2 linked regions of the Stegostoma tigrinum genome follow. The protein of the gene in region 1 interacts with the protein of each later gene in a biochemical or structural test. Links are inferred from orthologs where the notes say so. Each region holds a gene or a part of one and is shown in the gene's direction. Other genes may lie near its edges.

The links.
Region 2: the proteins of platelet-activating factor acetylhydrolase IB subunit beta (region 1) and neuronal migration protein doublecortin-like form a complex in vitro, tested with the Homo sapiens proteins (2 studies listed by BioGRID). The link is inferred for Stegostoma tigrinum from reciprocal best matches to the Homo sapiens genes PAFAH1B1 and DCX.

Annotation. Positions count from the first base shown.
Region 1 is NC_081380.1:36,240,070-36,255,386, reverse strand, and holds the start of platelet-activating factor acetylhydrolase IB subunit beta, read left to right. Parts: upstream 1-8,686; 5' UTR 8,687-8,909; coding exon 8,910-8,953; intron 8,954-15,317. UniProt on the Homo sapiens protein: Regulatory subunit (beta subunit) of the cytosolic type I platelet-activating factor (PAF) acetylhydrolase (PAF-AH (I)), an enzyme that catalyzes the hydrolyze of the acetyl group at the sn-2 position of PAF and its analogs and participates in PAF inactivation.
Region 2 is NC_081368.1:24,966,434-24,982,037, reverse strand, and holds the start of neuronal migration protein doublecortin-like, read left to right. Parts: upstream 1-7,057; 5' UTR 7,058-7,395; exon of another isoform or gene 7,396-7,413; intron 7,414-11,426; 5' UTR 11,427-11,464; coding exon 11,465-11,837; intron 11,838-15,604. UniProt on the Homo sapiens protein: Microtubule-associated protein required for initial steps of neuronal dispersion and cortex lamination during cerebral cortex development. May act by competing with the putative neuronal protein kinase DCLK1 in binding to a target protein.

The DNA of each region.
Region 1 (15,317 bases):
TCAACTAATTATCCCCATACACCAGCCCCACCAATGCTGGAATCCATCTGATAAACATCCTCTGCACTCCCTCTACAGCAAAAATATTCTTCCTCAGATAAGGAGACCAAAACTACACACACTGTTCCGGCTGTGGTCTCACTAAAGTCCTGTATAGTATTAGCAATACATCCCTCTTCCTGTACTCAAATCCTCTCACTACAAAGTCCAACATAACGTTTGCCTTCTTGACCTACTGTACCTACATGTCTACCTTCAGCAATTAGTGTACAAGGATACGCACGTCATGGTGCACATTTCCACTCTCAATTTATTGCCATTCAGATAATCTAATTTCCTGTTTTTGCTCCCTAAATGGATAGATAACTCACATTTATCCACATTATACTGCACTTGCCCACTCACTCAGCTTGTCCAAACCACTCAGGATTCTCCTCACAGCTCAGCCTTGCACCCGGCTTTGAGTCAACTGCAATTTTGAGCTATTTTGTTTTGTTCCCTCATCTAAATCATTAATAGGAATATCTGGGTCCTAGCACTGATTCCTGTGATACCTCACTAGTTATTGCCTGCCATGTATTCTTACTTGTTGTTTCCTGTCTACCAAACAATTATCTACCCATTTCAATACACCACCTCCAGACCCATGCACTTTTGTTTTATATGCTAATCTCTTATGTAGGACTTTGTCAAAAGCCTTCTCAAAGTCCAAGTAAACCACATCCACTGGATCCCCCTCATCAACTCTACCAGTTCCATCCTCAAAGAATTCCAGCAGATTTCCCAAGCATGATTTCCCTTTCTTAAATCCATGCTGACTGTCTGACCCTGCAACTGTTTTCTCAATGATCTGCTATTAAATCTTTTAGCATGGACTCTAGCAGTTTTCCCCACAGCCAACATCAGGCTGAGTAGTCTATAATTCCCAGTTTTATCTTTACTTCCCTTTTAAAATACAGGGATAAATATTAACTTAGGCCCAATCTGTAGGAACCTTTCAGAGTCCATTCAGTATTGGAAGATGATCACCAATGCACTCACTATTTCTAGGACCATTTCTTTAAGTACGCAGGGAAGTGATCATCAAGCCCTGGAGATTTATCGACTTCAGTCCCAATACTATTTCCCTAATGATACTTACTTCCTCCCTCTCATTAAAATGTGTTCTTCAACATTTCTGGGATGTTATTTGCATTCTCCTTTATGAATACAAAATTAAAACATATATTTAGTTGGTCAGCAATAACACAGTGTGCAGCTGGAGGCACACAGCAAGCCAGGCAGCATCAGAGGAGCAGGAAAGCTGACTTTTCGGGTCGGGACCCTTCTTCAGTTCTGACTTTCTCTTTAGTTGGTCAGCCACTTCTTTGTTCCCCATTATACATTCACCTGTTTCTGACTGTAAAGAACTTGCATTTGTCTTCACTAATCTTTTTCTGTTCACAAAACTATAGAAACTTTTACAATCAATTTTTATTTTCCCTGCAAACTTACTCCCATATTCTATTTTCCCTTTCTTAATCAATCCCTTTGTGCACCTTTGCTGAATTCTAAGCTACTCCCATTCCTCAGGTCTGTGTTGTTTTTGAACAATTTGTTTGACCCTTCCCTGGATTGAATGCTATCTTTAATTTCTCTTGTAAACCAACATTTTGCCACCTTTCCTTTTACTTTTGCACTAGACAGGATTGTACAATGTTGCAATTCACTCATGCACTCTTTGAATATTTGCTATCATCTTTCCACTGTTATCTCTTTAAGTAACATTCCCCAATCATTGACAACTCAAGTGTCACACGATCATAGTTTCCTGTACATTCAAGACACTAGTCTCAGACTCAACTACATCACTGATGATGAATTCTATAATATTATGATTGCGCAAAGAGCCTGTCAGAACTAGATTGTCAATTATTCCTTTCTCATGACATAATAGTCTAGGACTATCAGAAGAAAGTACACTTATCCACACCTAATCCTAGTTGGTTGCCAATACTGAAAGGACCCTCAGGATGAAATCATATCCCAACAAATTTAATATTCAAGTCAAGGAAGGGACCAGAGTGTGGGGAGAAGTGAAGATAATGAAAAATACTTGAAAATAGCTACTGGGTCTGTTGTCTATTTTCTTTACCACATTTTACAGAGAGGTCAATAATCATGGGTCAGAAGTTTAAGTAATTGACAGAACTGTTCAAGGCAAATTGAGCAGACACTTTGTTTTTAACCCAGGGAGTGTCAGGGGATCTAGAACTCTCAGCTTCAGAGGGCAGTGAAAAAAAAACCTGCACGTACCTTTGATGTTCTATATGTGTCACGGCTCAGGATCCAGACCTGGATCTCACATTGAATCGTAGAATCCCCACAAAGTGGAAGCAGGCCATTCAGCCCTTCGAGTCCACACCAACGCTATGCCTGTAACCATGCATTTCCCCTGGATAATCCACACAGCCTGCACATCCCTGGACACGAGGGGCAATTTTAGCATGGCTAATCCACCTAACTGCACATCTTGGGACTATGGAAAGAAACCTGAGTGTCTGGAGGAAACCCACACAGACACAGGGTGAATGTGCAAATTCCATACAGACGAATAATGTACCAGAAATGTTGAAGAGTTGAACCTGGGTCCCTGACACTGTGAAGCAGCAGTGCTAAATCACTGAACCACCATACCGCCCTTCTTTTTAACTGTAGAGACATAATAGACCGAATGACCTCCTCCTGCGTCACAAGTTATTTCTATGTAACACCTATACTGTGTAACCACAAATCAATCATTAGTCAATACAACTCAAAACAAAATTACGAGGATCACTCAATTTCTTTTGAAGATGAGAGATTTTTATGTGAATGCATGAAATTCTTCAGTATCCAAGGAAAATTTGCTGACCACAATAAGCAATAGCTTTGATCTCTGAAGTCACTTAGATGAAATCTCACTTCCGATAACAATTCAGAATTAGCATTTTCCAGTTTTAAACCAAGCAATCACACTTGGATGAGGTAACTAAGGAAATTTAGATGCATTGTACAGGGCTTTGGTGAGACACACCTGGGGTATTATGAATGATTCATTTATCAATTGTATTGACATTTTATGGATAATTTCATGCAGAAGAGTGCTTTCTGCTGATCAACATACAAGCCAGGAATAGGTCCTAGTCTGATGAACTGAACTGCAACCCTTTAGGCTTGTCCTGCTTTTTAAGTAGATTATAGATGATAGGCAGCAAAGTGTGCTGTGCAGAGGACACAAGGAGGTTGCTAACAAATATAGATAGGTTTAGTGACGGGGCAAAATTATGGCTGATGGTGTACATTGTGGGAAATTGTAAAGTTGTTCATTTTGGTTGGAAGGACTAAAAAAAAAGCCCTATTTAAACACAGAACAAGTGCAGAACCTTGGGTACAAAGGGATCTCAATGTTCCAGTACATGAATCACAAAAAGATAGTACGCAGATACAGATAGTAATTAAGAAGGTTAATGGGCCGCAATCCTTCACTACAAGTGGAACCGAAAAGTAAGGAGGTTATGTTTCGTTTATACATATCATAGATGAAACAACTTCTCAAATATTTTATGCAGTTTCGGTTGCCTTACTCAAAGGTTGAGAGGGATTGGTTAGGTTAGCAGAGGTGACTGGGTGGCTGGTATGTAATACAGAGTAATGCCAACAGCACAGGTTCAATTTCCATTCCAGCTGAGGCCATCATGAAGGTTCCACCTTCTCGATCTTGGCCCCCACCGGAAGTGTGATAACTCTCAGGTTAAACCACCATCAGTTGTCTCTCTCTTATGAGAGAAGCCCTATGGTCCTCTGGGACTATGGTAACATAACATTATATATTTAAGGTTGAATGTAAATGTATTGGAGGTAATTCAAAGGAGATACTAAATTGATATCTGGAATGAGCTGGCTGTCTCATAAGGAAAGATTAGATGGGCTGGGTTTGTTTTCACTGGGTTTATGAAAAGTGAGAGGTGATTTGATTGAAATTTACTGAATGGTCGTGACAAGGCGTTTTCTCATGCGCATGGATACAGAATTTTGGTCTTTATACTGCATCCCCCATCAAGACTTCTCACTCATTACTCCTGTTATTAGAAACACACAAGCCAGCTCTCCAAAGCTTCAGGTTTCCAATGAATTCCAACGAATTTTTAAATGTATTCATGGCCCTCTTTGACCCTCCTTAGTTCCAAAAGCACCTCCAGTTCTTCAATGCCCATCCTACAACTTAGATTTACATTCATACCTTTAATTTGTGAACATGTTGCAAATACTGAAATGGTGGAATATTTTTGTTCACTCAGCATCTGGGCTGCTTTGGCAAGATGCACTTTTACATGCACGTTATTGTCTGAAATATTTGACAGTGACAGTACAGACTCCCATTTATTTCAATTGCATTGTTCACCGAGAATCTCTCCCACTCTTATCATCTGACATCGTTGTTTTGGAAAGATTTCCAGGATGATACGTGAACTGTTTGCCTGCCCTACGAATAAACCTTCCTTGGCCATGAAGTCTGAACTGAAAGGCATAAACCTAGAGCTTGTGTGTCAGTGGCAGAGATGCTATCTACTGTACACAATTTCTCTCCACCTCACCCCACCCACTCCACCAAGTATTGCTCAGAATTGACAAAACTAGATATCAGAGCGAATTAGAAAAGGTTGTTCAGAGATACATTTTGAGCAGTCCCTTAAAAGAGAAAAGAGAAATAGTGAGATCAATCGGGTCTGCTTCTCAGTCTTCTCTACTGAGAGAAAAACAAGCCCAGTCTATCTCGTCTCTCTGGATTGCTGAAACTCTCAAGCAACTTCATGGTGAATCTCCTTTGCATCCTTACTCGTACAATCACATTCATCCTATAATGTGGCAACTGCAGTGTCACAGTACTCCTAGCTGTGACCTAATTAATGTCTTATATAGAAGGATCACTGGACTAGATGTTTCTGATCTGCTGAGCTTCTCCAGCAATTTCTAAATTTTCAGATATTCAGCTTGGGAAATTCTTTGTTTTATTCCAAAATAACCTCCCTTGTCATGTATTCAATGCCTCAAGTAATAAAGGCAAGTATCCATGTCTTCTTAACCACCTTATCCACCTATACTGTTGCTTTCAAGTATCTGTGAGTATTTATTACCAATGTTGCTCTGGTTCTTTGTACTTCTTAGGGTCCTTCAATTCATTGTGTACTCCCTTGTCTTTTTTGTCATGCCAAAATGAATCACCTCACACTTTACAGGATTAAATTCCATTAGCAAATGTTCTGCTCACCTGACGAGCCTGCCTATATTGTAGTCTAAGATTCCTTACTATTTAGCTGATGAATTTTCAAGTCACCTGTGAACTCATCAAACCTCCTGCATTTTGATCTAGATCGTAAACATACACTACAAGCAGCAAGGAACCCAACACTGAACACTTCACTATGCCAATAGACACAGGCTACCAGACACAAAAACAGTCTACTGTTATCCTCTATATCCTGCCACTAAGCCAATTTTAGATCCAATTTGCCAAATTGTTCTGGATCCTATGAACCTTTTGACCAGTCTTCTATGTGAGGTCTTGTCAAAAGCCTTACCAAAGTCTAAATAGAATACATCCACACATTCTGGTCACCTCCTCGAAAAACCTCAATCAAACCTATCAGATACGAACTTTCCCTGACAAACCCATGCCTACTATCCTTGATTAACCCTTGCCTCTAGAAATGGAGATTAATTCTGTCCCTCAGAATAATTTCGAATACTTTGCTTACAACTTTATCCTGGCCATTCTTCTTGAATTCTGGTACTATATTAGGTGATAGATATAGTACAGATGTCAAAGGTAGGTTCTTCACTCAGAGTAGTAAGGGCATGGGATGCCCTTCCTGCAACAGTAGTAGACTTGCCAAGTTTAAGGGCATTTAAATGGTCATTGATTAAACATACGGATAATAATGGAGTAGTTTAGGTGAGATGGGCTTCAGATTGGTTTCACAGGTCGGCGCAACATCGAGGGCCGATGGGCCTGTACTGTGCCATAGTGTTCTATTTTCTATTAGCTGGCCTCCCATCTTCTGGCACCTCTCGTGTTCATTAGTTCCAACCCACTCAACCTCTTCTTCCAGGAATGCACCCAGTGAACCTTCTTTGAACTACTTCCAATGTAATTATGTCTCTGTTTACTCAAGATACTAAAATTAAACACTGGTCCATGTACAATCTCACCAGTGGCGTTTACAGTTGTTAGAAGAAACTTCTTTTTTAAACTCCATCCTGATTGCTATAAAGGTGGAGATGGCCAAGGCTAATGGAGGGATTTGAAAACAGGAAATAAAGGTGTTGTTTGGCTGGGAGCAATAACAGGAAGAATAGGTTTTGGTATCAACTGGGACCATCAGTTACCTAGTTGTTGTAAAGATATATGGGATGTCCTGACCAATTGAAAGTCAGCATCTAAACAGCAAAATCAAAGACTATGCAGAAGTGTCCGACCAACAATTGAAATTAGCCATGGTGCAGGTTTTCTCCACTGAATTGGCCAATCAATAGACTCCAACAATTTTCTTTGTTTTAATCATTAAGCTGTTTTACCAATTTGCTGATACTGGCAAATTTGATTCATCTGTCCTATAAACCATACCATCTTTGGTCAAGGTGGTGATGTTTTCAGTTTAGTCATAATTTTGATCACATTCCACACACCATTATCAAAAACAAACAATCTTTAGGACATACAAAAACACTAAGAACTTCAGGTCTGAAACAAATGAAAACAGAAACTGCTGGAATAGCTCAGCAGGTCTGGTAACATCTGTGGACAGAAAACAGAGTTCATGTTTTGAGTCCAGTGAGCCTTCAATAGAACTGAAAGGAGTGAGGAAATATTGATACTTATGATCATGAGGTGATAGGGGTGGGGTAGAGAGGGGCAGAGATGCCCAGTAAGAGGGAAAAACAGGAAGCAGACAAATGAATTGTTGTTAATAAGCCAGGGAAGAAGAGATGAAAACAGGGATAGGGTGGGCTATGGGGAGAGCAACACATACAGGACAGGGTCTGGGAGTTTGGGGTGAATAAGAGACATTGGGGAGGTGTTCATATTCAAAAATTGTTAAACTCAAGTGTTGAGTCAGGAGGGCTGTAAAGTGCATAGGTGGAAAGTGTGGTGTTGTTTGTCCAGCTTGCATTGAGTTTCTCTGCGGTACTGCAATAGGACTGAGACAGAATGGGAGGATGGGAATGTGTGGTGTGTTAAAGAAGTAGGCATTTGGAAGCTCAGGGTCATTTTAATCGATGGAGAATAGGTGTTCCACAAAGTGGCTGCTCAATGTGCACTTTGTCTCCCCATTGTAGAGGGGACCATATTATGAGCAGTGAATACAGAGTACCAGATTGAATGAAATGCACGACTTCATCTGGAAATTGTCTGGGGTTATAGATGGTGAGAAGGGAGGAGAGAAATGGGTGAGTTACACACATTCTGCAATTGCATAGGAAGGTGCCATGGGCACATAGAGAGTGTTGGAAGTGAAAGGGGAACAGTCCCTGTGGAATGCTGATAAGGGAGGGGCATGGGTGTCTGGCAGTCACATCCTCCTCAAAATTAACAAATAGCAGCTTATGATCTGTGGAATGCAGAGGCTGGTGGGGTGTAAAGTGAGCACAGGAGGGCACCCTATCTTTGCTGTGGGATAGGAGAAAAAGGGAGGGGGTGAAGGGAGAAGAGCAGAAAATGTTAGATATGACTGAGGTCACTGTCGACCACAGATCAGGAGAAGTTGGATGTCTGAGGCCATCCCAGCACTGTCAGAAGATGGCATAAAGACAGATGCAAGGAGAAACTGGGAGAATGGAATGGAGAGATAATGGGAACTGCAGGTGCTGGAGAATTCCAAGATAATAAAATGTGAGGCTGGATGAACACAGCAGGCCAAGCAGCATCTCAGGAGCACAAAAGCTGACGTTTCGGGCCTAGACCCTTCATCAGAGAGGAATAGAATGGAGTCCTTTTAGCAGGCAAAGTCTAAGGGTATAGTGAAGGCAACTGTGGGAGTCAGTGGGTTTGTGATGGATTTCTGTGATTAGTTTATCCATAGAAATGAAAACAACTGTCATAGAAGCCAGAAGTTGGAGATAGGCAAGTGATGGAAATTGGAAGCAAAATTCATTTTGTGCAATCCCAGACATTAGAAGGACGCAACATAATGATGTACCTGAGAGAGTTGTGGGCAGGAAATGCAGCAAGGAACTTTTAAGACATTTTCATCCCTTCAGATGCAAATCTATCAAGTAATACTCGAAAATAAATTTCGCATAACATTTAGTAGACTTTTTTTTAAAAAACGTATCTTTCCCCGCAGGACGACTCACATTCAAATTAGCTCAAGCGCGCGCGCCCCAACGGCTGTCAAACTGGGCACCGCCCTACTGCGCAGCCTCACTCGTATCCCGTCTGCCTGGGCTGACGCTATCGTTGGTGAATGGCGCATGCTCGCCAACAGTCGGGTGACGTCACTCCAATTTTTTTTACCCTCGAGTCAAGCTCCGGTTTCCTCGCTCCCTCTACTACGCAGGCGCGATGAGGCGAGGTAGCGGGCGAATCCCGGGCGCCTGAGTGAAAGGCTGGTGCAGTGCGCAGGCGTGAAGGCGAAAACAGCGTGCCGTGCCCGGTCACTTCTTCGGAAGAGGAGGAGTAAGAAAGTGGGGTGGAGGAGGACGCGACAGAGAGAAACAGACGGATTGATGTGCGCAGCCTGTTCTGCGCAGACTCCGCACGACAGCGTAGAGAGAGCGAGACGGACCCGGGCGAGAGAGAGGAAAAAAAACAGTTTGAGCGAAGAAGCGGGGGGAAGCTGCAATTCAGTTTGACAGCCGTAAAAAGAAACCTCTGGATTCTCGTCTGAATGGTCGCTATTAGCCCACCGTGTCGAAGGCGACTCTTTTCAGGGTGAGTTGGTGTAGGTTTGTAATCGCTGAGGTTGATTAAATACAGCGTTCGGTGGAGAAAAAGCTGAGGCGAGGAAAGCTTCTTTTCAGATTATGTGGCCGCTGCCTTGCTGTGTGGTAATAAAATGGCGCCCGGCCGTTGGTAAAACATTAAAACGGGGGACCTTCAAATGATCCGGCTCCGTCGCTACCTTTTTCTCTACGACCTTTGGGTATGTTTCAGACGCAGTTCCTCAAACATCATAAAGTCGCCGACGTGGCCTCATAAGAAATGGACATCCATTTTCTTTTTTGTGTATTTGTTTGGAGTTTGACCCAATTCCTTTCTATGTCGAAAAATGCAGGTTGGTATTTTTCTCCCTTTATTGCTGTGGCCGACGCCCGGATACATCGTACCCTAATCCCTTAATTTTCATTTTTTTTAAACTGTGCGTAATAGAATGGATGAGTGTACTTACAGGTTAGGAACAGTACTGATGAGTTTGGGTGGAGTGAGGAGAAACAAGATTTTTTTTACCGCAGGGTGGATCTTGACTTGAGACGCCCAAACAGGGTGTTATTCAATTATTATCAATATGTATATTAAAACAAATGTATATAATCGCCGATTTTTCTATATTTTACTTTTAATTTGGGATTTCATGATTTTTAAAAGAAACAATGCAATGTTTATCACCGTTTTTTCGGCATTAGTTTAATATTTTCATGATCGGTGCAGTGCCATGAGCCACATGTATCCTGTTTTCTGGTGATGCAGGATTAACATTACGACGTTTTTTAAACCTGCTTCTTCTTTGTCAGCTCTAGTTTTCAGAATACCCATCACTTTATGGATGCCCATAGATTTATAATGTGTGGACTTTTTGGATCATTTTTAATTTGGAACCTGATCTTGAATTGTTTGACAATAGTGCATAACCTTGCTTTTCAAATTAATATTTGGTGATATCAACATAGCTGCTCTTTACATATTAAAAACATAACAGTTAACCAGGAACAGTACCAGCATTATTTCATGTTTCTGCAAATATTTGGTCACTTTTACTCAATCAGTTTGGTAAGAAGCAAGGAAGTTTCACTTAAACAGACATATTCCAATCAGTATGACATCTTGGGTCAAGATCTAATTTCGTGTTTTTTGTAACTGACTGTAGAAAGTTGCTTGTGATCATGCTTTGCTGGAAATTATCTTTGTAAAATTGAGAAATGTGGTACAGTAACCTAAGGTGTAAATTAGTGTTTACAGCCAGTGAAAGAAAAGTAATCCAGGAATAAGTTTACATATTGAATTAGAAACTTAAGATTGGATGATGAACTATTCAAACTCTTTTTTGTACTTAAATGAGAAATCAATCAAACTGTCTTTTAAATGCAGAAGCTCAATGGTAATTCTTCCATTAATTAGTGAATAAGTATGTTTGGGGTTTGAGTCCCAACGAAGTGGTTCTTTGAAATAATAGAAAATATATAATGACTTTGTTGACATGTCAAGTGGTGAGAAATGTGCACGAGGTAACGACCACCAGAGCCCATCTATTTTCAGATTTTTGGTTCTAATGGGTTTCCAAAATTTTATATTAATGTCTTCAAATGTTCCTTTGCTTTTGGTAAGCTTGCACAAAATATGATCAGGACATCCAGACAGTTTTTTAAAATTCTAAATCTTAGTGTGAAAATGTAGAAATTAGAGCTGATAGATAATTTCAAGTAGTTCAGGGAACCATTTACAACAAAACAGAAACAGTTCTCTGGACGTTGACAATCTGAAAAAAAGGTAGAAAAATGACACATACTCAGCAAGTCGGGCAAGCAATTTGGAGAGAAAAGCAGAGTTAATGTTTCAGCTATGCAACCTTTCATTACAACTTTTGATCAAAGGTCTCAGAGATCCAACACCTTCTGCAGAGATCTGTTTTGTTTTTATCTTTAGTTTTCTGTTAAATCAGTGTAAGCAGTTTGCAAGGATTTGCAATTAACTGTTTGCTTTCCATGGTTTGTAGTAGCTTTTTATTTTATTTTATTTTCATCTATTCTTGAACAGTGGCAGTGCTGATTCTCTACATGGAAAATTTGAGTGGTTCAAAGTGAAGCAGACAATTGAGCAGAAGCAAGGAGATTGATGTGAAATTCCTAATTCTATTTTTGTTTTCAGCTATGATGTTCAACCATAAAAATCTCAGTTCAGAATACACGTTGTGTTTTTTTACAAAGTATACATTTTTCGTCGGTTATTTCAGTCACCTTGTTCAGACATGTTATGTCACAGCTGTGGTGAAGGTGTTGCTCAGTCCTGGAGCTTTTGGCCCAGAGGTAGGGTAATGGCTACTGCGCCACAGGGGTGTTAAGCATAGTCTGGGATTCTGGGTGGCGAGTCGAGTGACATGACCACTCTGCCTTGGTGGGATTTGACCCCACATCTCCCAAATATTAGCCTAGAGTTCTGGATTACCTATCTGGTGACCTGGAAGGGGCACCTGTATTTTACTTTCTATTGATTCCGTGAAAGTCTTTTAGCTGTTAGTTTTAAATGGATGATGCTGAGCTAATAGACCGAATATTAGCATTGAGAGCCTGGCCATTGTCTTTCTGAAAGGCTCCCAAAATATCAGTACTGTCAACATTCAAAATATTGTTTCTCTAAATACTTTTTAGAAAATATATCAGCAAATATTTTTATGCTTCATTCATGTTTGCAAAATGCAATCCATAACTTTGTTATTATGGGAGGCAATGGCCTAGTGGTATTATTGTTGGACTACTAATCTAGAGACCTAGGTTCTGGGGACCTGGGTTCAAATCCTACCATGGCAGAACTTAAATTCAATAACAAACTGGAAGTAAGAGTCTGCTGATGACGTTGAATCCATTGCTGATTGTTAGAAAAGCCGGTCTGGTTCACTTATGTCATTCAGTGAAGGAAACTGCCATCCTTACTTTGTATGGCCTACATGTGATTCCAGACTCTCAGCAATGTGATTGACCAGAGAGCAGTTGACAGTCAGTTAGGGATGGCCAATAAATGCTGGCCTAGCCAGCAAGGTGTATGTCCCGTGAATTAATATATTTTAAAAAAACTTCTGACCTTGAATTTACCTATGTAATACTATGTTAACATATATCTAATTTCTCCGCAGCTGAAAATGAACTGATAGTGCCCTGTTTATGAATACAGTGTCATTAGAAATTACATTGCATATGAAGAATTCCAATATACTGGTAGCATTTCAGTGGACTTCATTTTGAACAGTTTCTTGCCGTTATGTTTCATATGATTTCTTCAGTTACTTTGAACAAACATCAGCTTAAATTGTAAGATGGGAGCAGTTTCAGTGCTGCTAGTTAACCTCCAGGAGCTGCTCCTGCTCTTCATGTTTTTGCATGGTGCTTCCAGATGTGACTTGAATTCAATGATTTCATGTGATGAGATGTACAAAACTAAATTGTGTTCTGATGTTTCACTTACCAGCTATGCCATCATGGTTGATTCTATTTTAAGATTATGTAAACTTGAGCTTTCTGGAATGCTTGTTGAGATTTTGTTTCTCATATGTAGTTCACTGTCCTTGATGAAAACCAACCTAAATGTCCACATTTATTTTGAGTTTGACTGAAGTGGTTCTTTTGGTGCTTAACATTTTACCAGAATTGAAAAAGCCTATTAATTTGATTATTGCAAACTTGCAACTGATTTGAAAATTAACAGGCTTTACGACTGAAAAGTATTTTGCTTGATCTTTGGTGATTTGTTGTTATGTATAGTGTGACCATTGCTTTGAGAGAACCACATGTGAAAGGCATCCGAACTTAGTTGAATGAAATTGAATTGCTGATCTTGCAAGTACACCCAGTTAGGATATTGAGAGCTTGGATTTCGTGGCTTTGCTTTTGTTTGTATGTAAATAAGCTCCAGTTGATTACAAGCTTGAATAACTTCAGGAAATTGCTTCTGTCCTCTGCAGAATCTTGGGTATTTGATAAAACTGCTATTCTTCCTATTCTTCACTTGTGACACTGTTTTCACAACTGGAATCCAAGCGTTTCAAGTTTGTGTTGTAGTTTTTTGATCAGTGCATGTTACTGTATTAACCTCTATCACTTGCTTAAAGTAGGACAATGACGGTACTGGAAGACTGCATTTCAAGATATTGAACGTAAATGTTGAGTTTACACAATAAATGTAACACATTGTCTACAAGTGAGCCTGATTTGTAGGCAAATCATAATTTGATTCAGAATGTGTGCAGGGACTGGGGATTGGCAGCAAATTTGAGCTTGCAAATTCAAGAATCATCAAATTCTAAGTTGCGCATCATTCTTTCTCTAGTATGTCAGTCTGAGAGAAACTGAACACATGGTTAAAATTTTTCAAGTGCATTATTTTTGATTTTCTATTGTGGAGGATAGACACCGTTATAGTCAGCCATACAGCACAGAAACTGACCCTTCAGTCCAAACTAAGATAGTCCCACTTGCCTGCATTTGGCCCAATATCCTTCCAGATATGCTGACTGAAATGTCTTTTTTTAAATGTTGTAACTTCCAGCATCCACAACTTCCTAGTTCATTCCACACATGAACCACTGAGAAAAATGCCTCTCATGTCTTTTCAAAATCTTTCTCCCCTCAGCTCAGAAATATGCTCCCTAGCCTCAAACCCCCTTCTTGGGGAAGAGACCCTTTGATTCACTTTATCTGTACCCCTTACAATTTTATAAACCTGTATAAGGTCACCCTTCAACCTCCATTGGGGAGGGAAATTCCCAATCTATCCAGGATCTCTTTGTAGTTCAAACCCTCCATTCCTAGTAACATCCTGGAAAATCTTTTCTGAACTCTGTTCAGCTACCTGAACAGAATGTTGTTCTTTGCTACAATAAGATGACAGGAATGCACACAGTACTCCTGAAGAGGCCTCGTTAACAGCCTGTATGAGCTCAACATGATTTCCGGATTCCTATACTCAAAGGTCTCAGCAATGAAGGCAAGCATGCGAAATGCCACCTTAGCCACCCTGTCTGCATGTGATGTACCTATACAAGGGCCAAACATACGAGCAAATCAGTGGGACACCTGTGGGATCGCCTATCTCCGGACTCATAGCAGAAGCAGTGACGCAAAGAGTGGAAAGGACTGCTCTTCCTCAAATCCAACCTAAACTGTGGATTCAGTACCTAGATGACACCTTTTTGTTTTCATTTAATGGACCAAATTAGAAGACACACACAAACTCAACCAACACCCTCACCAGAATAAAATTCACCAGAGGAGGGAAGAACAAACAGCTCCCATTCCTGGACGTCATGGTCGAGCACAAGACAAATGGGGAGCTGCAAATGAAAGTACGTCATAAAGCCCCACACACAGGCCAGGTATTGAACTTCAACAGTAACCATCCCAGCACACACACCCAAAGCTGTGTGTGAATGCTATTTAAAAGGGCAACAACAACACTGCGGCAACGTGGAACTATGCCAAGAGGAGGAGGAATACCTTTTCCAAGTGTTCAAGGATAATGGATGTTCAAAGAACTGGGTCAGGAGATGCCTACAGGAAGAGCATCAGAAAGATTTTACGCACTCTGACACACTCATCACACTACCCTACATCAGGAACATGTCAGAACTCACCACAAGACTCCTACGACTGCTGAGCATCAGAGTGGCACACAAACCCACGTCAACCCTACGACAAGTGCTCTCCCAAACTAAAGACCACTCCCCACCATGGACAGGACCAGATGGATGAACACAGCAAATCCCCTGCAGAGACTGCGAGAAACACTACATTGGACAAACAGGAAGGAAACTAACAACTAGACTACATGAACACCAACTGGCTACAAAAAGTCATGACCAATACTCACTCATCTCAATCCACGTGGACAAGAAGAACCACGACTTTGACTGGGACAACATGAAAATCCTGGTACAGGTCAGGCAGAGACAAGCAAGAATTCTTGGAAGCACTCCATGAAGCAGGCTATTAATAAACACATTGAACTTGACCCCATATACATACCACTATGGCGGAAACCTGGAAGTGAGGCAACCCATCTCAACGGACCCCAGAGTTTAAAAACCTGGCAGGAAAACACACCGATGCTTCATCAGAGGCTGCACTGAGAATGTTACCCAGCAAGGTAACGAAACGTCTGCAGGACAACACAGCTCAGCGAGTGAGCCAACCAACCTCAACACCCACAACCCGAGCTACAGATCTATTCCAAAACCTTGGGTGTACCTTTTCGAAAGAACTATGTACCTGAACCCCAAGGTGTCTGTTCTACAAACTACCAAGATCCTACTTTTAATTGGCAACGTTCTGCCTTTGCTTGTTTCACCAAAATGCGGTATCTCTTTCTTCCA
Region 2 (15,604 bases), on another chromosome or scaffold:
ATGGAATGTTTCAATCTATCTCTTGGGCAACTCAGGATGGGCAACATACACCGGTGTTGCCAATGATGTACAAATCTCAAGAAAAAATACTTTTAAAACGTTGTTCAGTTTTTCACATAGATAGTCCATAGTCTAATGAACTCAAATTAGTCCCAGTTAAAAAAAATTGAAACTAAAATTTAAAAACTTAGAATATAAAGAGACGTGATTTCTGTGTATCAACATTTAAATTAAGGTGAGAGATAATGGGAACTGCAGATGCTGGAGAATTCCAAGATAATAAAATGTGAGGCTGGATGAACACAGCAGGCCAAGCAGCATCTCAGGAGCACAAAAGCTGACGTTTCGGGCCTAGACCCTTCATCAGAGAGGGGGATGGGGAGAGGGAACTTTATTCCAGTTCCCTCTCCCCATCCCCCTCTCTGATGAAGGGTCTAGGCCCGAAACGTCAGCTTTTGTGCTCCTGAGATGCTGCTTGGCCTGCTGTGTTCATCCAGCCTCACATTTTATTATATTTAAATTAAGGTGAGATAGGTTAGCAGTGTTAAATACAGAGGTTAAAATGCAGGTTGACAGAGTCCACTCATATACTGCCCAGTCAACTTTTATTTTCTTGTTCACATGCCATAAACTCCAAACACACTTATTCTTTGCTCCCATATATTTATGTATCCAGTTCTCACCCAATTGTTTTTTAATTTATATAATTCAACCACTTAATTGTTGAATCACTCATTCTATCTGACGTATGATACATCTGACAGTTTACAAGTGATCCTGTGTTATAACTTCATTAAGGTGTTACCTCATTTTTAAGTATCTATGGTGCTACTCAGGGCATGCTCCCCCGCAGTCTTAATTGAACTAATGTTGATTCTTTGGCTTTATGATAATCTGGACTGAAAAACATGCCAGGAAAAGAGGTTAAAGATTGTGGTTGAATAGATCTCTGCTGCTAATGGCCCACAGTGCCTCATGAATGCTTAGCTTAGAGCTACTAGATCGGCTCCTAGTCAATTCCATTTGACATAGTAGTAGCAACATAGGTACAGGAGCAGGTACTGAGATCATTGATCCTAATGCTGCTGTTGGCTCTGGTCCGCAGCCCCCAACCCAAATACAATAGCTCCTACCTTAACTCAAGCACAGAGTGTCCCCATACAGTCCTGGCCTCTTGTTATTGAGCTCTAATGTGCACTCCTGTCTCATGCCCTGCAGAGGTACATGTAGAATCCTGGATGTGAGTTTGCTCGCTGAGCTGGAAGGTTAGTTTTCAGACGTTTCGTCACCATTCTAGGTAACATCATCAGTGAGCCTCCGACAAAGCGCTGGTGTTATGTCCCGCTTTCTATTTATCTGTTCAGGTTTCCTTGGGTTGGTGATGTGGACAACACACCCATCCTAGGACAAGCCAAACAGAGACACACATGAGAATTCCTAGAAGCATGGCATTCCAACCGGTACTCCATCAACAAACACATTGAGTTGGAGCCAATGTACCATCCGCTGAGAAAAATTACAGCAAATGACATCACCAATGCTGGAAGTGACATCACCAACCCAAGGAAACCTAAACAGATAAATAGAAAGCGGGACATAACACCAGCGCTTCGTTGGAGGCTCACTGATGATGTTACCTAGAATGGTGACGAAACGTCTGAAAACTAACCTTCCAGCTCAGCGAGCAAACTCACATCCAGAACCTCAACCTGAGCTACAAATCTTCTCAAAACTCGCTAACATGTAGAATCCATTAGAACAAGTGTTTGGCAGATCAGCATCGGCAGCTATACTGCATAGAACAGTGACTGGTTTATCTCATTTCATTTACAGCTAAAGTATCAAATATGCTAATGTTTTGTGCACCCACATTCTACCAAGGGCATGTCTAGAAATATCTTCAACTGCTAATGACTTGTCCTGAATACAATATTTGTTCAGAAAATTGTTGACATCCTCATTCAGTTTGAGAATTTATTGTTTGTGACTATAATCTTAAGATCTTACTGCTTTAGAATATTAAGGGCTCTTTCCCTATATAAAAACATGAGAACTAAGAGCAGGAATAGGTAATTCAGCCTTTGGGCCTGCTCCACCGTTCAATACGATCATGGCTGACCTCATCTCAACTCCACTTTCTGCCTACTTTCCATAAGCCTTCAATCCATTATTAAAAATCTCCTCTTTAATTTTACTAAATGTATCAATATGCACCTCACTTTGGGTAGTAAATTTGAGAGATTCATGACCCTTTGAGAAAAGAAATTTCTCTCATCTATGCTTTAAATCTGCTACCCCAAAACCTGGAAATATGACTTCTTGTTCTAAGCTGCCCCACATGGATCGTAGATCATCAATCATAGATCATAGATCATAGAATCTCTATAGTGTGGAAACAGGCCCTTTGGCCCAACAAGTCCACACAGACTCTCTGAAGAAACATACTTTCTAGATCTACTTTGTCAATCCCCTTTAGCATCCTATATACCTCAATCAGATCTCCTCTCATTCTTCTAAACTCCAGAGAATATAGGCCTAAAATACTCAATCTCTCCCTTCTTAAGACAAGCCCCTTATCTCTGGTGTCAATTTAGCAAACCTCCTGTGAGGGGAACAAAATTGTACATAATACTTTAGGTGCAGTCTCACTAATGCCTTGTACAGTTGTTGCAACACTTCCCTACTTTCATACTCAATTTCTTTTGTAATAAGCACCAAAATTCCGTTTGCCTTCCTTATTGCTCGGGGTATATGATTACCAGTTTTCTGCTATTGTTGTGCAAAGACGTCTGGATCCCTCTCCGCCAAAGTACTTTGAAGTTTCTCTCCTTGAAAATGACTATTGAGCCAATCAAAGCTCTGTCCTCTCACCATATCCAATTTAAACTATTAATGTATAACAGTATACACAAAAATATCTGCAGATATTTTAGATACAGAAAATAGATATGGAAAAACCCCTGTACTGAGCTAATAATGTATGCTTGGATCAACAATATGTGCCACCTGATATGAAGGAGAAAATAATATTGATTGTCACTGAATCTATTAGATTTCAGGCCGAATTTACTTTAGTAACAAACATACCCAAACTATTGCTGCAGAAGTGCCAGAAAAGAAAAGGCCAGTTTAAAAGAGTTGTATCATGAAAAATTCACCAAGGTAGATGCTTTTATTTTCCATTTGGGATTTACAGCAGGACAGTTCTGGCAGTGTCACTTTGCATTATTTCTGCCACACCCTTTCAATGTAATTTGGATTATTCAGGAATTAGCAAATGCAAAATGAGGGACCAACCAAAAGATCCATTGTATCAGTGTAAATTGTAATGAAGATTATGCGCCAGGTTAAATCTTTGATTGTAGGGAGAAGGATTAAAAACTGATGTTAACATTAGAGTAAAATAATGTTTTAATTGGGTTCAGTAGAAAACAAAGGGCTAAATATATGAGTGAATTGTAACATAATCTAAATTGAAGGAGACCTCAAGATATAAAGTAGGATATAAAGATATAAAGATGGATAAAGAGCTGAGAGCTAAAGAATGAAGGCAAATTGAGTTCAGGAATAGCTCCAGTCGTAGATGAAGTAACAACAAAACATCTAAAAACCCTTGGAGGAATTAGAAGTGATAACAGAAATCAAATATGTACAAAAATATACATACTAATTGACTTGAGGCATTCATTAGTCATATTACCTAACAAACTTAAAGATTATTTAGTTATCTCATTAAAGCGACCTTAATAACTATAATAAAAAGAAATTTGAAGCAGAGGTTGCTAAAATACAGGCTGGCTTTACACTTGGTGTTGGAACTAGAAAAGGTATTTACTCTAGGAACAATCTTTGCTGGATATTAAGTAAACAAGAATAAACGTGCTTCATAACGTATGAGAAAACATCCAATGGTGATTATCACAAACAGATAATAGAAATGTTTCTGAAATGTAACAAAAACAGTAGAAAGTCTACATTGTAAGCAAATGGAGAGGCATCAGGTGGAAGAGCGACATTCAATTTGCACGCAACAAGCTTTGGGCTGTAGGCTCCCGAGGCGGAATATGAAGTGCCGCTCCTCTGATGCAGCCTGGCCTGCTGTATTCTTCCAGCTCCATACTGTGTTATGCCCTAAACAACAGTGATCATGAAACAAAAACAGAACGTGCTGGAGAAACTCAGCAAGTCTGGCAGCATTTGTGGAGAGAAAGCGGAGTTGACGTTTCCAATTCAATGGCCCTTCTTCAGTGTTAACTCTGTTTCCTCTGCACAGATGCTGCCGGACAAGTTGAGTATCTCCAGCAATTTGTTTTGATTCAGATTTCCAGCATTCGCAATTCTTTGTTTGTTTAGTGTGATAATTATTTGCTTTTAGGTGTTCAGGGAGAACTCCCCTGGTATTCTATGATGAAGTGTCATTGGATCTTTGCCATTCATCTTGGAGTGCAGGCTTGGCCCCATTTTAACAATTAATTCAAAAGAAAAATTAATTCGGTCAGAATTGCACCGAAAATTATCCGCGATTTCATGCTTCAAAATGGGGCTTGAATCCACAGCTGAGAGGCAAGACTGATACCAGTGCACTTAACAGATCGTAAAACCACTGTTTTAAAGTAGCCGTTGATTCATTTCTTTTAAATTGAGTTATTAACAATTCTGGACAGAGAATTTTTAGACACATTAAAGATTTGCTACCACGGGGAAGGTTTCTAACCTATATTCTCGTGTTTGTGTCCATTAGCTCACTCAGTTAGATGTCCCTTGAAAAGTAGTGACCATGGACATGATGATCGGAATGAGATGACCGTTTCTGCCTCCAATTAGACACATAATTTAGGAATGTCTGACGCAGATTCTAGTTCATATTCTAAGATTTCACAAAAACCATTTCCAGATGATTCAGCACACTTTCTACAAGAGACCCCAGTCTTGCATCAACTCCACTCAATGTATTCTCTCTAGGCTCCTTTGCAGTGACTCCGAGGTGCTCCATCTAAATTTGCTAGCTTCTTGATTGATTGGGACTTTCTGCAGTGTAAGGGGCTCTTGTTGAGATGACACAGCCGTAGGCTGACCTTGCTCGGTGATCTTGGGGCCGGTGGGGGCAACGTCAGGCCCACCAACAGAGGTCACGTCTCTCTCTCATTCCTCGTTGAGCTTGAGATGAAGCTGCCTTTTTCTTCCGTTCCATGTGTTCACGGGCCTGAATGCTGAAGCATAGCAACAATACATCGTGACGGGGAGGGTCTGCTACAATTCAGGTAGAAGTTGAACAGGATGGTCCCGCTCACGTTAGAAGCATTTTGGCAATGAACAGATGCAACTTCAATAGATTGAGATTTACTAACAATAAAGCAGTGATTTAAAATCCATACCTACTCTCTGAGGGTCTTAAATTCTATGACCGGAGACGTGGTTTGCATTATTATATAAAATTACCTTGAAGAAATCCATAAAGTGTAAATGTTGGCATGCAGGTATTAATATTAAAGTTAAACACGAGAGAACAGCATATGTTCTGTCTGATGAAGGGTCTAGGCCCGAAACGTCAGATTTTGTGCTCCTGAGATGCTGTTCGGCCTGCTGTGCTCATCCAGCCTCACACTTTGTTATCTAGAACAGCATATGTTGTTTTAATGAAAATGCAATGATATAAGAGGCTGGAAGCAACGATTAAACACGCTGCCATAGAGGCGTACATTATATAAAAATTGCACGTCAAAAGATTGGTTGATATTGGGTCATAATCTCATTGTTCAGTAAACGCACAGCATAATGACGCTCACAACTTCATCAGGCAGTAACATTTTTGTAAAATATGTGTCAGTCGCAGTGAGAATGAAATGAGAGAGCAAGCCCTTTTAGTGCCTTTTGATTGAAGCCAAAAAGAGAAATAAAATTTCCACTCCTTTTGCTGCAGTCAGATGTTTTTGTGAGATATTCAAAGAGCCTCTTTCCCTGAGTAAACCCGACAATGCTTTATTTTGTTAATTGTCATATCGTTAACAGTTTTATTTAATAAAAAGAAGCAGGATCTGACACGTGGTGGTTTAGACAGTGACCAGCCCACCTGCATTTCCAATGTCTCCTTAATCACTGCGCCGCAGAGATCTAAATGTCTGCTCCCCAGCCTGTCCCCTTCTCTATTGACTACAACACTCCTCCAGGGTCCCACCTCCCACCTCACATACTACCGAGCTAGGTGTTAGGCAAACGCCAGGTTGTTTGTATCAAATCGGGAATCGCTTGGGGGCGGTGATTCAGTGTAAATCAGTCTCCTGTCAGTTTTCCTGTTCTCCGTACTGCGGATTTAATTAAAGGCGAGTGTGAATGTTTAAACGCTCATGACTGGAGAACGTGTCTCAATCCGTGAGACAGAGCCTCCTTCATACAAAGTGGTTGGGATTGACACTCTCTCTCCCAAAATCTCTCTTCACCTCCCCTCCCCCACCCAATTCCTCTCCCAAACTCCGTCTTCCTCCCCCATAACTCTCACTGCCTCCCCCAAACTCTGTTCTCGCTCACAACTCTCTGTCCTTCTCCCAATCGTTCTCTCTTTTACCAGTCCCTTCCCCCACAACTTTCCCTACCCCTCCCCCGAACACTACCACCCGCTGGCGGGGAGGGGGCAGAGGGAATGCAAGACTTCAATGAACCTCCTTCGATGCCATTGGATACATATTTTGTAAATATGATGGAGACATGCCTCACATGTGATAGGCAAATGGAGCTATTTGGGATGAAGTTATACTGTCACAGCTCAGGTTTCGTTACCCTGAGCATGAAATATTGGAGTGTTTGTGTGTGTGTTTTCGGGGTAGCTGACCACAGCCTATTCAAAGAATCCAAAGAAACTGACTACATTTTTTATTCTGCTCGCCTCTGTACTTATAAGTTATATTATATGAATTGCTTTGTTATATTCTGAGGTGTGAGAAGGCCTTTCTTTCTGCAGTAGCAGAATGTAGAATTCTAAGGCAACAGAAATATTCTGCAAACAACAGAAACATTGTTCTGATTTGAAGGAATCATTCCCCATACGTCTCGTTTTCTTCGATATTGCTTTACAACATGCGACCATAAAACAATTAGCCCAATGTGCTGACTGATAGAATTGAGGTCCATTTTGGGTACCGCTGCAGTACAGGTATATATATAATGTATGTTGTGTTTTCGTCTCTCATTCATTCGACCCCTGCGAGGCGCTAGAACGGGAAACGTGGGACTCGCTTGCAACAGTTTTAGTGGAAGACGGCTTCAACTCGCAATAGGACCCAGAGAAGCCACGATTTCTCCCGTTGTGGGTCTGGCCAGCCAGAGCGCAGACAACAAAAGCAGGCTTGGATTGTCTTTTTCTTTCTGCATCCACACCCTGTCCACACTGCACACAATTTGGTGAGTTGCTCCTTTGCTGTAAGTAAAAGACAGAGACAAAAAGAAGCAATCTCTATCTATCTCTGTATAGACATACGTGCACTATTGCTGTAGCACTTTGATCGAGTTCGGGTTTGGCATTCTGCAGTAAGATATTTTAGTCGATGTTCATTGAAAAGTGATTTATTTTAGTGTCTCTGCAGTTGATACATGGAGACGATAAGATTTCTCAAATTTTATTCTACAGCTCGAGTTCATTGCTAGATACCTGATGTTTCCTCACCTTTTTAACGAGTCGTTCCATAGTATTTTTTCAGGATTACCGCCTGAGAGTTAACATTTCCCATTCAATCTATTGTTAAATACATATTGCAGATAAGTGTTAATAGACAATAGTGTCTTCCCTTCAAGCAGATCGCTTCACCTTACAAATTTTTTCCATTGATCATGGGATTTTATATAAACGAATTGACAATCCCGTTTGTCAGCAAGCGTTATGTATATTTTCTTAAATTATACGATGTTCAATAAATCGCAATACTGAGTTCTCTTTGTTAAGATGTTCTTGACAGTAACTGATGAGACGGCTTTTAATGATTCATTTATCGCGCCTTTGTTAACAAGTGTTTAGTATGAGCCTTCCGTGTTGTGTATTCAGTTGCCCTTTCTTTACATAGCCGTTTATGAATAATACATTTTATGTGAAAACCGTTATATCAGATACATTGCACAGAGCGAGGAGAAGCCACTCCCCAGAAATTGTTACCTTAAGGCATGGGGTCAGGAGAAAATGTTCCTTGTGTTTCTGATTTCCAGCTGTAACTGGGATTATATATACAAAACGATGACTTTCGTGATTTTATTTTCTCAGATTTGTGTTTTAGTTTCGGTCACCTTTGAGGATCACATCATTCTGCAGGGCTGCAGTGAAAATTAACATTTTGATTTTTCACTTCAATAGAGGGTGTCGCTTTGGGACGCTGTGCTCCCTCCCTCAGGCAGGGTCACTCACAACACTCCCGGATTTAGATCAGCACAGGTCAGCATTTCTGCACTGCCCACCAATTCTCGTCTATAATCCACTTGAGGGAAACAAACAAAAAAACCCCTCTGCTGCACCAGCCTGTCAAGTCCAGATCCCACAACAGCTCATCGCAAGGTGAACCCAGCATCACCACTTTAAATGTCCATGATGTCAATGATCCTGGATCTGGGTAGGAATCACGTAACACGTTTCACTCCAAAACCTGCTCATATGTTACAGAGAAAGATGTTCCATCTATGAGTGTGAGTTGATCATGAAACCATACCCACAACATGGAATTAAAGCATGCCTTTAGAGGGAGATGTAGTTGTTCTGACCATAATTTAAGAGGGTTAGTCCTGTCATCATTCACTGTGAGCTTCATTAATAATGCATAGAAGCAAGGGTGCTGCTTGATTATGATTATACACAGGTCATTAAAGACTCAAGTTTTAATCCACTGGAAGCTTAACCAAGAGAAAGCCAAGTAAACTGCAGAGATCCATATTCAATCTTTGTGCCTTCTTCAATCTCAGCACAACAGCAACAATCCTTGATGTCCCCAACCTTGGGAGGAGAAATATTAACCAGGATTTCCATTCTGACATCACTTGCAAAGTGTGTGTTGGGTGAAGGGAGGCACAGTCGCATTTATTACGCCCCATTGATTTACTAATGTGTAGACATGGGTGAAGGTTGGTCACTCATATGAGGTGTGAGGGAAATTTGTGTTTCAATCTAGCCTTTGGGACAGGGGAAATCATTGATGGAAATTTGACATGACATCAACACTTATTAAATTCTGATATCTAGTCCCAATAACTGTCTGGGAATTCAGTACTATAGATGTGGTTCTGCTAAATTTAAGTTGATGAAAAGAGTATCAGTGCATTTGGTAGATGGATGAGTTTAGAAGAGGCCTGGGCTATCGTCATCATAATGGTATTGCACTAAAATGACATATCTTGCAGGTAAATCAAGTGCATTAGCTTTCCAAATATTGGCTTGATCTACCAGTGCACTAAATTTAATTTTCAGTACCAATTTGGCTCATGTTCCTATTTCTCTGTTACGAGTCGGTGTCTCGAGACCTAAGTGGGTTAGTTAGGATAATACTTCAAATCATTGCTGAGCAAGATCTATATTGTTTGAATTTTACATGATATGCCAAAGTAAGGCTCTGTCAGTCTTTTCAGGTGGATGTAAAGTAAAGAAGCTTTCCTGGTGACCTGGTTAATGCTAATCTCACAACCACCATTACTACATGCAGAATAATAGTCTTTCGTATCAACAACTGTTTTTGGGGCCATTAAAATTGGTGTCATGTTTGCATTCATAACAACAGTGACTGAACTTCAAAAATAATTCATTGTATTATGTATTGAAACGTACATTATGTTTATATAATAAATGACAGTCTGTTCATTAATGTCCTGTCCCAATTTCATGAAACGGCATTCACATGAGAACAAATTAATTTTGGAAGGATTATGGCAGAATGCAGCATAGAGGTAAATGTTGGGAGTTGTGAATATGTATCCTGGGTTAAATGAAAACTGATTTCTACACTTTTAATTAATTGATAAGTGTATTTAAATAATTCTATTTACTGCTTTTTACCTAGTAATTTCAGTAGTGTGAGCACATTAGAGATATAAAGGGGAATGTTTGGAAGTTTCATGCTCAATAATATTAATGGGAAAGCAGTTGGTGTTCATGTGGTCTGTTTACTGGTTAATTATGGCTGTTTAAAATCCCTTGGTGACTGAAAACTGGAGTCACTGCCCCAAAGGGACAAGTCCATCACAAATTAATTTTTCTGATTTCATCTATGTTAAAAACATGTTTTATTTGAACTTTTCTATTTAACCTAACATCAGCCATTAATGGTTAAATCAAGCAGTAGCTCTTCGTCACTAAATGATGTTGTGCAGGCTAAAACTTATTTTTCAAATTAGAACATTTCATAAAATTAAAAGGCTGTTAAGATGTCATTAAATATAAACTCTAAGATGAGAGTATCCAGAAAATAAGTTCTCAGGTTTTTTTTGTTGAACTTTGTGTCTTTTCCTTCATTCATGTGACATGGGCATCACTGGCTGGCCAGCATTTATTGCCTGTCTCTGATTGCCCTTGAGAAGGTGGCAGTGAGCTGCTTTTTTAAACCTCTAAAGTCTAAAAAATTAGGTCGATCCATAATGCCATTCGGGAGGAAATTCCAGGATTTTGACCCAGTGATATTGAAGATATATTTCTAAATCAGGACGGTACTGGTTTGGAGGGGAACATACAGGTAGTGGTCTACTTTGTCTTTCTTAATGGTAATGGTCATAGATTTGGAATGTCATGCCTAAGGACCTTTGGAGAATTTCTGCAGTCCATCTTAGAAATGGTGCATACTGCTGCTACTGAGTTTTGGTGATGGATTGACTGAATGTTTGTGAATGTGATGCTTTGTCCTGGATGATGTCAAGCTTCTTGGGGCTGCAGTCATGCAGACAAGTGGCAAATATTTCATGACACTGCTGACTTCTGCCTTGCCGTGGTGTACAGGTTTTGGAGAGGTGAGTTACTCACTGTAAGATTCCTAGCCTCTGTTGGAAGCAACTCATCTTGACTGAAGATCAGAATGCCCTTTCAACTTAGGAGTTTAATGTTGAGTATAGTACTGTTTGATATGATACAGAGCAAAGTTCCTTCTTGTTCACTAACGATGTGGTTCATTACAAGTCTATTGGTCCACTATAATATTTCTATTTCCAATACCAGTCTCCTGTGATCTTCGAGTGAGAATGCAAACACCTTTATATTCAAGGAATGCAGATGGTTTGGGCAGATGTTGATGCCAATGATTCCTTCACCGACTTTAATACGTATTCCCAGTTATTGAAAAATCTCCAGTTAAATCAGTGCTTTCGTCCAACTATCGAAGGAATATTCTTTGTATTAGGATATATAATGACCAGGGATTTTTCAGATGTTCATGGATGCTTGCTGTGTGTGAGCTTGAGTCTTATGTCTTTTGCAGGTTTGTTTGATCTTCAAATCTGATCAATTAACTGAAGCATGTTCCAAGATAAAGAGCTGGATTTCGGCCATTTTGACGAAAGGGACAAGACACGTTACTCAAAGGGTTCCAGGATGAATGGTTTACCAAGCCCCACACACAGCGCTCATTGCAGTTTCTACCGTACCCGAACCTTGCAGGCCCTTACTACTGAGAAGAAAGCCAAGAAGGTCCGCTTCTACCGTAACGGAGATCGGTATTTCAAGGGCATTGTGTATGCTATATCTGCAGATCGCTTCCGTTCTTTTGACGCCCTGCTGGCAGACCTGACCCGAACCTTGTCTGATAATGTGAACCTCCCACAGGGAGTTCGCATTATCTTTTCCATTGATGGGCTTGGGAAGGTTACCAGCCTTGATGAACTGGAGGAAGGTTAGTAATTGATCATTTTGGTATAATGCCAGAAATAATCTCCCTTGCTCCTTTTAATTTTGTTTTTAGTATAATAGCTCGGATTATATATTACTGCCTAACTATTGTTTGATTGTACAGGGCCACCTTACAGCGTGTAACGATGGGATCGATATGTAGGAGCATTGGGATCATATCATCCGATTTCATTATGTTTAAAGTTTGCATATTTAAATGCGTATGTTGAAGCACAAAGTCTAATTGTCTGACTGACCTGAATTCAAAAGGGAGGATCTTCATTGCGTAGTTGAGCTGTAACAATCTCATTATTCCTTTCAATCCTAATGTTTAAACTCCTATCCCTATTCCCATCCATTCTTTGTACCAGTGTTGAAATTCCTAATTAAAGTGTCAGAAATGACACTGGGTTTCAGATTTAAGTTTGATGTAAATGATCACTATTTTGGAATGATCAGCAATATTTTCATGTAAGTTTCAATATCTGGTGGATTTTGACTATTTATTTCAATGTTTGTTTAAGTATTATCATCTGTTATTATCCTTATTATTGTGTGGTTGTTCATATTATTCATGAGCAGAGCCAGTCTATATGACTTAGTTTTAATTTTGATCTTAGTTGCTCTAATACCAATTTCACGGAAATTTTAAGCATCAAGCTTCAAGGTCTGACACAGCAATAATTGAGCCTCCTTACATATATCTGTCATTGAATAAGGTAGCTGGAAAAAATTAGTCTGCTGGTTGAAATATAGCATATTTCCAAAATGTTAACCTCAGGGAAGAGTACAAACAGTTGTTTTGCTCCACCATGTAGCACAGGGGCAAAATTGTGGATTTTGTATTAAATCACTGTTGTTGGAGGTTCTAAAGAGCAGTTCGTGACATATTGGATGGGTGAGAGTGTTTTAAAGAGGGACAGCTCAATGCTAAAAGTAATCCAACGGCTGGTTTCTCTCCTTTACTTTCTGTTTCCATTGTCAACAGGGCCAGAGTTGATCCAAAGTAGTGAGGATGATTTTCTTGGCTGTCGCTTGTCTGCCACATGGGAATAGAGTTCCTCCAAGAGCAGGGTGTGACCCCAGCATTACATCACTTACATGTCTGGGTGACTAAACGGGCAGTGCACCCCAGCAGCAGCTGTGAGATAATTCCCTGCAACATGCTACTGTGCCCCAGCACATTCCACCCAACGAGAAACTATGTTAGCAAAAATATTAATAGCTCTTATGGCTAAAATTAGTTAGTTCAAACTCTGGGATTTAATAGTTCAACTTACTTTGAAAGGCTTCCTGAGGGTAGACATTTTTGACAGAGGGAGACAAAGTAAATTACAAAACAATTGTATTTTAGTCAAGCCTCTTTATTATGACCAATAAATGGCTGCACCCCAATTTGTCACTTAAGTGGGATCACCCTTAAGAGTGTCCATAATGTATTTGAATTTGATCCTGCCTTTGGGCAATAATGTTACTCTTTCTGCCTCATTTGATTTGGTGCTCCTGCATCAGTCTCCCCATGTAACAAATGTTATTTGTTCAACAGAGTTCGTATGTTAATGGTTGTACGTGCAAGTGATGGAGAAAACTAGAAGTGATAGAAGTCAGTCAATAAAAAGCAAAAAATTGCGGATGCTAGAAGCTGAAACAAAGAAGTAGCTGGAGAAACTCAGCAGGTCTGGCAGCATCTGTGGAGCAAAAGCAGATAAACATTTCGCATCAAGTGACCCTTTGCTTTTGCTTCAGAAGTTAGTTGATCACTGGTAATACCAGTAGCAAACATTAAACTGAATAACTAACCAATTGGATAGTAACGGGCACCTTAGTATTCACATAGTAAATGTAAATCAAGTCATGTGAGTTAATAATCGCTCCGTTAAGATGTGTGGGATATTGGATTCTTAGATTCATAAAATCATCTGTTGATTGAGTGTGGTTTGTTGTTGATTTTGACTTCACATAAAATTTAATAATTGACTGAAATTCATAGCGAGGGCTGAGTCATCAAAAGTTACAGCCTCTGCAGAGACTCAGGCAGTGGACCACATTGTGACATACACACATGATATCATGTTAGATATATTATTGCATTTGGCATGCTTTGTACAGAGTACTGGCCTGAAGCCCACATACCACCCTTTTGCCAAATGTTTGAAAATATCATTTTTTGGTACCATTTTTATATTGGACAGATGTGTATGTTAGTTTTATACAGACAAAAAGTAAAAAGTAAAAATAAGTTTTGAATTTAACTCCAGAACCCATAAGTAGTGTTATTTGGGACCCTATTATTTGCTCATTAATTTCAGGTTACACGTTAGATTTTATATGCATCAAAGTAAAATAATTTATAACAAAGACAAAGTTGCTGGAAAAGCTCAGCAGGTCTGGCAGCATCTGTGGAGCAGAAAACAGAGCTAATGTTTCGGGTCCAGGGGCCCTTCCTCAGAACTCTGTTCTATTTTTTAAAATAATTTATACCCAGGCAGAAATCACTACCACCACGAGAAAACTAAATATGAATTTTATAACAAATCTGTTAGACCTTCATCAAGACAGCCTATCAGTTCATTCCATCATGTGAATGTAGAGTAAGTAGTGATTGGGCAGGCTGCTGTATACTCCTGATGGAATTGTAACCAAAAGGAGAGAAATTATGGAAAATTAGTGAACTCCCCCATTTCAGTTTCTATTCCTGTAATTTAGGAGAAAATTGAGAGCAGAATGTGGGTAGAGCTGATAGCTTTGTAAGCGACTGTTTAATACAGTCTCTGTAAAGCTGTTTGGCCTACATTCTGCATTAACTTCTTTGGCCTACATTCTGTGTTAACTTGTTTGGCCTTCATTTTGCAGTATTTATGCGACAGCTAACCATTTTGTTAATTATCTCATTATGAATTTATTTTCTTTGGAGACATGATTAATTTTATGGGCTTTGTTCTGCATTCAATACTGCAAGCTCTGAGTAATTGGACTCAAGAGTCTGAAAAAACCTACCTTTTCATTAATGAACTTTGTTTGCTAACAGAGCATTTTTATGTTGGTTTGCCTTTGTTAAACAATATTGATGATTACATATATTTCATGCAACAATTCACAAGATTGCACTTAGCTGTCAGCTAGTACCAGAAAACAAGCTTTGTACTGAGATAATCGATTTAAATTATCTCTGGTTCTGCTCGCCTGTTTGGTTGATGGATAAGCGATATAGCTGTTTGGGTTTGATGCTAACAGATCAGAGTGTTTGCAGGTTTGAGCCCTCCACTGTGCTGAATTAGCTGGGCTTAGTTGGTGTGACAGCAGTGTCAATATAGTTGTTCACAATGCTCTTCGGCTGCAGAAGAGAGAACGTAAGAGCAAGGAATAGACCATGCAGCGCCTTGAGTCTACTACCAATTAAGATAATGTCTGATCCGATTGCAACTTCACATCAACATTCCTGCCGTCCCTGATAATTTTTCTCCCTCCTGCCTACCAAGAATCTATTCACCTTTAAAAATATTCAACTATTGTATTTCCACTGCCTTTTCAGGAAGAGAGTTCCAAAGACCCACAACTTTTTGGGAGAAAAAAATTTAATCTCTTTTCTGTTTTGAACGCCGACTCTTTTTTAAAAAAAACAGTTAAATCTAATTCTAGATTCTTCTATAAAAGGAAACATGTTCTCCACATCTGCCCCGTCAAGATCCCCTCAGGATTTTATATGTTTCAAATATCAGTTAGGGTTCTCATTTTGCAGCTTAGCCCATTAACCTGTGGTGGAATGTGCAC